Linked DNA regions of Xenopus tropicalis. The main gene of each other region encodes a partner of the protein of the gene in region 2 in a complex. Links are inferred from orthologs where the notes say so. Each region holds a gene or a part of one and is shown on either strand. Other genes may lie near its edges.

Evidence for each region. The genes of interacting proteins can lie anywhere in the genome.
Region 1: the proteins of ednra (region 2) and edn1 are in contact, whole or in part, in a cryo-EM structure (PDB 8HCQ), measured with the Homo sapiens proteins. The link is inferred for Xenopus tropicalis from reciprocal best matches to the Homo sapiens genes EDNRA and EDN1. Residues at the interface, in NP_001948.1 of Homo sapiens: Tyr68, Gln72, Thr73, Lys74, Tyr129, Asp133, Ile136, Asn137, Lys140, Leu141, Gly144, Arg145, Trp146, Gln165, Lys166, Val169, Glu220, Phe224, Val227, Phe229, Tyr231, His236, Lys237, Thr238, Cys239, Met240, Leu241, Asn242, Gln252, Lys255; in NP_001403492.1 of Homo sapiens: Cys53, Ser54, Leu58, Asp60, Lys61, Glu62, Cys63, Val64, Tyr65, Phe66, Cys67, His68, Leu69, Asp70, Ile71, Ile72, Trp73.

The regions. Positions count from the first base shown.
Region 1 is NC_030682.2:91,302,096-91,307,184, forward strand, and holds the start of edn1 (endothelin-1), read left to right. Parts: upstream 1-1,721; 5' UTR 1,722-2,143; coding exon 2,144-2,204; intron 2,205-4,975; coding exon 4,976-5,089. UniProt on the Homo sapiens protein: Endothelins are endothelium-derived vasoconstrictor peptides. Probable ligand for G-protein coupled receptors EDNRA and EDNRB which activates PTK2B, BCAR1, BCAR3 and, GTPases RAP1 and RHOA cascade in glomerular mesangial cells.
Region 2 is NC_030677.2:57,644,861-57,649,166, forward strand, and holds part of ednra (endothelin-1 receptor precursor), read right to left. Parts: intron 587-4,306; coding exon 434-586; intron 1-433. UniProt on the Homo sapiens protein: Receptor for endothelin-1. Mediates its action by association with G proteins that activate a phosphatidylinositol-calcium second messenger system. The rank order of binding affinities for ET-A is: ET1 > ET2 >> ET3.

The DNA of each region.
Region 1 (5,089 bases), on a different chromosome or scaffold from region 2:
CTGGGCAAAAGTCCCTTTTTCCATTTGATTAAAATGGCCCCAAGTAAGATAGCTGTTGTTTCATACCAACACATTCTTTGAGGAGTAGATCTAGCAGATATAGATGGGTGTATACATCAAATATTCCAATTGCATGCAGATATTAACTAGTACTGAAAGTGAAAGAGGTCCCTGCATATTAGAACTTACAATCTTAAAGGAGAAGAGTATGAGACACACATTGTAAAACTAATCACTGGCCATCAAAAGCATAACAGACTGCTTAATGTGTTTTTAATGACTGTGGGAGGAAACCAAGGCAAAAAGATGAAGCCTGCACAAACACATGATAGTATTCAACCTGCACAAAGATGGTGCCCTGGTCACAATCAGACTTGCAAGGAAGCCCCTCTATATAAAAGAAAAATGATTGTATACTAAACACTTGGATTGTTAAAAAAAACACGCTCATTAACACCTTATTTGCTGAATTCACTGACCAGAGTTAAGCAGTGCCCTGATTTGTATGGGTGCATGGCCATCTTCATGGTTGTAAAGAAGGTACAACTGTAGGGTTGATCATTTGGTAGGCCCTGCAAATCAACAAGGGACCCCAAATGCTGCATTTGCATGGGGCCCTAAAGGAAAAATGGGTTTCAGGTGACCTGGGCAGGAGCACAAACATACCAGGGTCATGTTTTAAAACAGAAGCCAAACAGTCTGCTATTTATATAGAAAAAAACTGGAGCCCATGTAATGAATGTTTGAACAGATATTGTGGAACAGTTTGTGTTCATTTCATACACCACTAAAAGTGAGTTTTTATACATAAACTAAAAAACCCTTCCCTGTAGTTTCTAAATGGAAGCAGTGTCCGGTTGCACAATGGCTGGCTCCTGTAAGGACATGCATTGCTACAAACTAGAGTGCCCTGTAGACAACATGTGCCAAGGTAGTGGGATCCTTTATAAATCCATTCAGCTTTGCACATGTATGCCACCTTTTCATAACTTTAGACTGATTTAGTACATATGGGTAGAATTATTGCACAGCACAACATATCTAAATTACAGGAGCTAATCTTTTAATCCAAATGATAAAGGGGGTAATCCTAAAACTGCCCCCAAAGTATAGGGAGCCCAGTGCAGCCTGATAAGCAGTTTTTTTTGTTTTCAGAGTTTGGGAGGCATACAATTACTTTGGTATAGGGCTATATTTCTTAAACAGTTGCTCCACTGCTTTGCTTGGGGAAAATAAAAAGAGAAACAGTGCAAATGTAGTATATGTAGTATTTCGGCATCTGTGTTATGTGCTCTGATAGCTTCAAGGAAGGCGTTGAGATTTTACAGCAACAAGCCAGCCACTGCTATGTGAAATCAGTATAACATTTCTACATGCCAGCCACAGTCCAAATGAAGATATATGAGTCCCAGGCACACAAACACACACCATCTCTGGCATTTATACAAAAGAGAATAGTGAAGTATTAGCACATTCTTCTTCTTTAATCGTCAATGACGATAAATATCCAGTTCTTCCAGGTAGCAATGATATTTAGTTGACAGGTGAAGCAAGAACTGAAAATACCAGAGCTTCTGTATATCACTCTGGAATTCTGCCTTTTTTTAATGCATATGCAGCGCCCTCTAGCGGCAGGAACACAGAACGACGAGGCTTTAATAGGTAAAGAGAGGGAATTTCTCAGTTAGCCCTGCCCACGGTTTGTCAGAGAGACGGCGTCTCCCTCTCTGAAGTTGCCAGAGATTTCCTCTCCAGCCTGCCCTTATCTCAGTCCGCACGTTGTACTCGGTGACTAATAGCACAATAACATTGTCTCGGAATAATATAAATTGAGGCTGTTTACAAAGTCCATGGCGGTTGAATATAAAGCGAAGTTGGCTGCACCGTAATCACTTGGCACTGTTGCACCGGAGTGGGAGCCCCTCATCCTCTCTCGCTGGACTTTGGATACTTAATTAATCGCGTTTGTTTTATCTCTATTTACTGGAAACTTTTTTTTTTTCTCAGATTCACTTTATTTTTATTGAACTCTGAATAAAGGAGAATTAAAGATCGAGACTGACCATTTTGGGGATTTTTGAACTTGCGTTTTTGAAAATCATTTTTACTATTTTCATTAAGACGATACCTATCCGGCTTCGTTATGGATCTACAAATAATTCTTTCTCTGCTGGTTGTCCTTGTGCAAGGAGTCAGTGCAACAGGTAGGGACCTGGGTGCTGTGTGCGGCGCAACCAATTGCGTGATGTACTGCCCTACCATACTGTATGCATGCATTAATACTCAGGTTCATACATGGTGGCATTATATTGGGGGGCTAATATTAGACATTGGCCATTTTTTGCCTGATACATTATCCTGGAACACCTAATGGTTGGATATTGAATCCATCTGTTGGGAAAGTTTCCATAAATGCCGCATATTAGATATTAACAGAAAAAAATGAACTTTTTTTGTTTATTTCTATCTTCAGACTCTCTAATACAGACGTAGATGTCATTTTCAGAAATGTGTGTAAGTGGATTGTGCTGCCGGGGAAATAATGCGGTTACCTTGTTTCAGGCATGGACAGGTAGCAGCGCATGAATTATCGCATACCATATACTATCGTGCATCACCTTTGGCGGTTTATGAGTTAATTGGCAACTTGGAAGCTAAATAATGTTGATTTATGTTCATGTAGGGCTTTTTAGGTATTTTTAAACAAGGGGTTATACATTGACAAGGGGAATACTGAGGATCTCATCTGAGTGCACTGGCAAGGGAAGCAAGTTGGAGCGCAGCGCAGTGAAAATGCTGATTTAGTAAATATTGTAGCTGCTGTGTGATGTACCACCAGGGGTAGCTTAGCTTGGGAGCAGAGCCTATAGTCTGTCTTTATGGGGGAAAGCAATGATCGCACAGGGGCATTGCGGAGAAGTATCTTTGGGAACAACTTGGCAGCGCTCTCCCATCAGGTGCAGCCCAGAGCAGATCGGATTATTATGGGATGGGGAATGCGGGGCACACAGGGTTATTATGGGAAGGGAAATGCGGGGCACACAGGGTTATTATGGGAAGGGGAATGCGGGGCACACAGGGTTATTATGGGAAGGGAATGCGGGCACAGGTTATTATGGAAGGGAATGCGGGGCACACAGGGTTATTATGGGAAGGGGAATGCGGGGCACACAGGGTTATTATGGGAAGGGGAATGCGGGGCACACAGGGTTATTATGGGAAGGGGAATGCGGGGCACACAGGGTTATTATGGGAAGGGGAATGCGGGGCACACAGGGTTATTATGGAGAAGGGGGAATGCGGGGCACACAGGGTTATTATGGGAAGGGGAATGCGGGGCACACAGGGTTATTATGGGAAGGGGAATGCGGGGCACACAGGGTTATTATGGGAAAGGGACTGTGGGAGAGTACAACAGGTTCTGGTTGTTAGGTGGCATAATCGCTGCGGAGACTAGAGCTGGGATTGGGAAATGAAATAATAGGCTTAGAGACTGGCTTTGTCGCGGCTTGTAGGAAGGGACAGCCCATACATAGCGAAGGCAGACAGGTGAGATTCTGGAGAATCCGTGATTACAGGGTGGGGGTGTCCCCAAAGGGAGAAGCACTGCTGCCTAGAGTTACTGCTTCTGAGAATGGGGAAGGCTTTTGCCATTGCCGGTACCTGTCAGAGACTGAACTGCTGTGACCTGATGCCTGGGGGCCTTGCTCGGTGCCATAACTGGGGCACAACTCTGAGCCTCTGTAGGTACCGTGTGACACTTCTTATTTCTTTTGATTGCTGGATGTAGTGGTGCTGCTGCTATCACTTTAGCCAGGAATAATTCCTAGTAACGCCCTTTTAAGATTTGGGGCTACTTATATCATTTATAATTTATATATCCCCCCTCACAAATGATTCTGCCACCATGAATTCGCGGAGACATCCAGATTCCCTACTTAATATGTGCCTGACTAGTACCTTGACTAGTACCTGCGCGATAGTATTAGTAACCTACAGACAGGGCAGTATCGGTAAAGGGTATTGTTGGTATGGGATATTAGTACCCCAAAAAAGACTGAGCAGACAGGGCAGTATTGTTGGTATAGGTAGGGTATTAGTAACCTAGAAGAGATTGCGCAGACGGGGCAGTATTGTTGGTATAGGGTATTAGTAACCTAGAAGAGATTGCGCAGACAGGGCAGCAGGTGTTTGGCTGCTATGTAAATGTCCCGCACTAAATGGCTGAGCCTCGCACCTGCAGCGCCGCAGCGACTGACTAAACACTGGCTGATCCCCTCCAGCGTCAGGCGCTGCTGCAATCACAATCCATTCGTGCTGTGCGGCCTCGCGTGTTCGGTCCTGTCCCTTGTGCTGTTTATAGGAATGTAAGTGCCTGTACGGGGCGGCCAGATGGAGTATTTAATAACAGCAGCTCCAGCTGAGCCAACAGGTTCTGACTGTCACGCAGTGCTGGCTGCGTGCATTAAATGATTAGACACATTCACTCTTTCAACAGCTACACGGCTGCCAGCTCATCCCGGAGCGCAAGGATCAGGCAGCAGATAGAACAGGAGGCAATGCATTCACTATAGTTATATGTATAGGGGAGAGCTGCTATTAGTTATATGTATAGGATATACAGGAGAGCTGCTATTAGTTATATGTATAGGATATACAGGAGAGCTGCTATTTAGAAAAGCACATCATTAGGTTATAGCCACTGTGTGTGCCAGACTGCTGTCTGTAGGATACATATGAGATTAATAATACAGCTCCATTACGGCTTTGTAGGGATGAGCGATTGTCATCGCCTGGGCTGGCAGTGCGGAGCGGTCACACGGCAGCGAGGGCTGCAGAGAGTTGTGTGCATGGCTGGGAATACACGGGAATCAGGTGTCTCTCTGGGAACAGACGAGGCCTCATTGCTCTGCACTTGCTAGAACTACATTAGTCTGTCTCACATGCCTGACACTTCCATCCTCTCTCTTTGCAGAGTCTCTCAGTGACAGCGCCAGACTTGCTAATGAGCCCCTTGCTACAGCACAACAGACAAGTTCGCGTCGCTCATCTGGCGCCCCCTTGCGATCTCGTAGGGTTAAACGTTGCT
Region 2 (4,306 bases):
CCAGGTAGGGATTTTCTACTCTGTTTTGGTCCCCTCTGGAAATGTTTTATTTTGCATGGGGGCCCAGGGCAGAGGTCAAAGGGAAATGTTCTTTTGACTTCCAGCTTTACAGCTATTGTACAGCAGCCTTTGCCCTGCAGGACAGGACTATATCCTTGCAGACAGTTAAAATAAAAGAGGTTGGATTCCAGACAGCTGAAGTTCTACAAATGCATAAAAGCTTAAGTACAAAAAAATGCTAAAAGCAGTTTATCAGTGAGTACATCTGTTGTTGTGCCTCGCCCCGCCCCCCCTTTCAAGTACAGCAATTTCCCAATTATTCCGATGCCTGTCAGTTTTGAATTTGTACTAATAAAAAGCTGTGTCCAAATACATATACCAGTAATAGTTAATCCGCACACTGCAAGAGTGATAGGGTAACAGCGTTATTTACCTGTTTCAGGTGCTCACTAAGAGCAATCCGTAGGCTTCCTTTCCTCTGGTGCAGCATTTCGCAGGTCATCATAGTATAAAACACCCCAGTGCAAGCCAAAGGCACACAAAAGTAGCACCCAAAGAGCCACCAGTCTTTTGCAACTTTGTAGAACTGCAAAGAAAAGAGAAAACAGGAATTAACCAAAAAGTTTCAGTTTTCTCATGCCACTACATCTTCTGCATCTTTCTGTCTCTCAGCTGCTCTTGGGCCATCTCTTCTTATCTTCCACTTCTGATTTTTATATGGTGTTCTGCAGGTTATTTTGGAATAAGACATGACAATTTGGTCCTGGCCTACAGAATCATTTTGGGAGATTGTAACTCTGTGTTTTCAAGCTGGCAAACACATGGTGCTAAAGTGCCCAAAACAGCCCTGTCTGACTTTTATGTGAAACATCTGAAATCACTTGTGTAAGTGCCTTGCAGGTAATGTGCATAGCAGTTAATCAGGGTGATCTGCAGCATTTTAGTGCTACCTGTTTGGGTTTCTTGAAACTATGGCATTTAGACAGAGTGTCCCACCCTGTGTGCTATTGGCCTTAAAATTCAGCTTATATAAAATACTATTAAACAGTTAAGTATTGCGTGCCTATATCACATTTGAAACTTGTATGGAATGAGTTATCTCAAAGGGGCCCTAAAAAGGGGGTCTCTCCTGTATTACACAACCCAAATGTAAAAATTGTTATACAGCATCAGACTTGCCCCCATGAATACCAAACTGGCTTATATTTTATATATTTAGCCCTGACATATTACACTGCTTTTTGCATAGAAAGATGTGATTGCTCTGGGACTAATAGTTGTAGCTTATACATATTGATCTCCATGGTATATGATTGCTAGAGCATTAAAAGGGGGCACGTAAACAGTTATCAGTTGAAATGAGTAATGTTTAGTCAGTTTTTAGTAACTAAGATCAACTTTCATGTCTAATCAGTGGAGGGGCCAGAATCATAAAGGGATTTTAAAACCTGCATACAAAACAAGGAAGCTGGGTTTGATGATCGTTGTTGGCCCCTCCACACGTCGGCTCTTGGAGTGACAGGGGTGAAAGATCAGTATATACTTCATTTAGACTAAGATGGGGTTTTCTGACCTTCTTAATATCCACTACATAAAGGTCCCCTGGGAATTCTGGAATGTGAAAGCCTCTTAAAAATAACCTAGAGGCAGAGACCAAGAGTCATTTCATTCAGATAATTGCTGCATTGTGGTGTCTTGCTGATTTTAAGGAGAGCTAATACTTTTCTTTAACAAGATCACTTTCTACAAGGCTTTTAAGGTTTATCCTGTCTCTATTTAACAGTCATTTATTGTACAACCAAGGGGAACACAGTATATAATGCCATTATTTTCGTATCTGATATTACTGCAAAGTATAGCCACCCAGTAGATATTGTTTCCCTTCCATTTAGCTACATTGAAACACAGTACACAGTACACAAACACAAATAATTCAATTTTTTTTTTAAATGATCTCCTGTTCGTCTGTTATAATAAAAAAGTACATTGTATTTCATCTTAAATAAGCTACAATTAATCCTTATTGGAGGAAAAATAATCCTATTAGTTTTAATTAATGTTTATATAATTTTTTATTATTCAAATTATGGAAAGATCCCTTATCTAGAAAACCCCAGGTCCCAAGCATAACATAACAAGTCTTATATATAATTATATATATTATATATATAATCTTATATATATATATGCTTATGGTACAAGTATAGAGTCCCTGATCCAAAAACCCGTTATCCAAAAAGCTCTGAATTATGGGAAGGCTTCCCCATTGTCTCTACAATAAGCAATTCAAAAGGTTGAAAAAAAAAACGTAAAACCAATACAATTTTTTGAATAAACTTATTGGAAAGTTACTTAGATTTACATTTTCTTTAAGTGTGCAAAAAAAATTTTGGGTGGAGAACCATCATTTGAAAGATAGCATACCATATATTTATAATTACCTAAATGATTGTGTTACCCTGTTGGGGATGTCAATAGTGAAAATAGTGACATTTACTTAAGTGCAAAAGGCAACGTTTTCCATCCACAGGCTTGATAAAGGGCTGAATTAAATCCTGAAACATTGCCTTTTGCACTTAAGTAAAAGTCACTATTTTCAAAATAACTGGAGTGCTGCTGTTTTCACTATTGATATTGTTTTACCCGGGCAGAGGGTACAGTGTGCACCTGGGGCTACAAGAAGCTGTTTTTCCACCATGTAGCACACCTTAATTGATTTAATTCCCTGATGGAGGATGGTTACACTGATGCAATCAATATAAAATCTCTTAAATCTCTAATGAATATCTAAAACTGAGAACCACCATATCCCTTGCCTGTGCTAATACATTCTGCATAGATACAACAGCACAATTTATTTATCTGGGTTCTAGAGATTATTCTTTATTTGTATGGCACTGCTATATTCCTCAATGCTTTACAGAGATTATACATCTTTCAAACACAATAGGGACAATTTTATCAGGAGCCAATTAACCTGCCTGTATTTTTATGGGGTGTGGGAGGAAAGGAGTACCCCAAGGAAAACCCACCCAAGCACGGATTGAACACAAGCAGTATGGCAGTTGCCACTAGCATGGATAAATACACATATGACAAGACAAATGCTCGCTGTAAAGGGTAAGCTTACCATAAATAAAATGTAAATCCTACATAAAACAGGGCACATTATAACAGGACCCAAATATTGCTAACCCTGCTAGTTATATATAAACCAAATTAACAGTCACATAAAATGTCAAACCTTGAAAACATAGTCAAGGACAGGAAGCACTGTGCCCACATAGTTCCATTAATTCAAAAACCCATCTGGCACCCATGTAATAAGTGTTGTATAAAATGCGACAATTCAGCAGTAAAATTCTGACCAACAAAATGTTAGGACTCATCATTATACAGTAAATGCAAATTGTCTGTGACATCAATAGATGTGGAAATAGGGGCTAACGTGGATGGTGACCCTTGAGGGCTTCAGTGCTTAAACAAATAAAGCTGTGTGGAGAGCCTGCGACTGATTAAATGCAGGCAATGAACAGCGCACCCATCTCATTTTACATGAGGGCTTGACTGAAGAGAAATAGACATCCTTTTGTTATCCCTACCGGTCCAGCTGGAAACAGTTTTCAACAGGAAATGTGCATTCAGAGCGACTTTCTTTATGCAGCAAGATACTATTTAACATTCATTGGCTCTTGCATAGTGTGCGCGCTATGATTTAGTTTCAACTTCTAGCGGTATGTGTAACCCTGAGGGTACATGCGGCAGAACAGGGGGTACTGATGAATTAGTTCAGCTTAATTAAAAACACCACTCTCCGTCTGCTATACTGAATACGTTTGGGGTGCATCTTGTACTTGGAAGGAAGAAGGCATGGCTACAACGAACATACAGGAAAATGGTTAACCAACTGCGATTTATTAGCACTATGCATACCCTACAGTCCAAAGCAATCAGTGGTTCGCTCTTCTACTCTGTTACACCACATCCTGCAAAATGGGCCAATTGTTACAACTTTTTTTTAAAGTAACTATAGCATCTGGGACCAATATCCTGATAAAAACGTTAATGAAAGACAATGTTAAGGACTCAGAATAAAAGAGACAAAGTTTTCAAGGTACATAAATGAAATGCTTTTTTTCAGGCTTTGTTTTAGAGTAAATACAACTATTTCTTATAGCTGACACATGCATTAGTGATTGAGAATAATGAATTATACTGTACAATGCACTACTGTTGGCTTTGTGTGCAACATGAGTGAAAATAGTATGAAATAATACACAGGTATGGGATCCCTTATCCAAGCCTG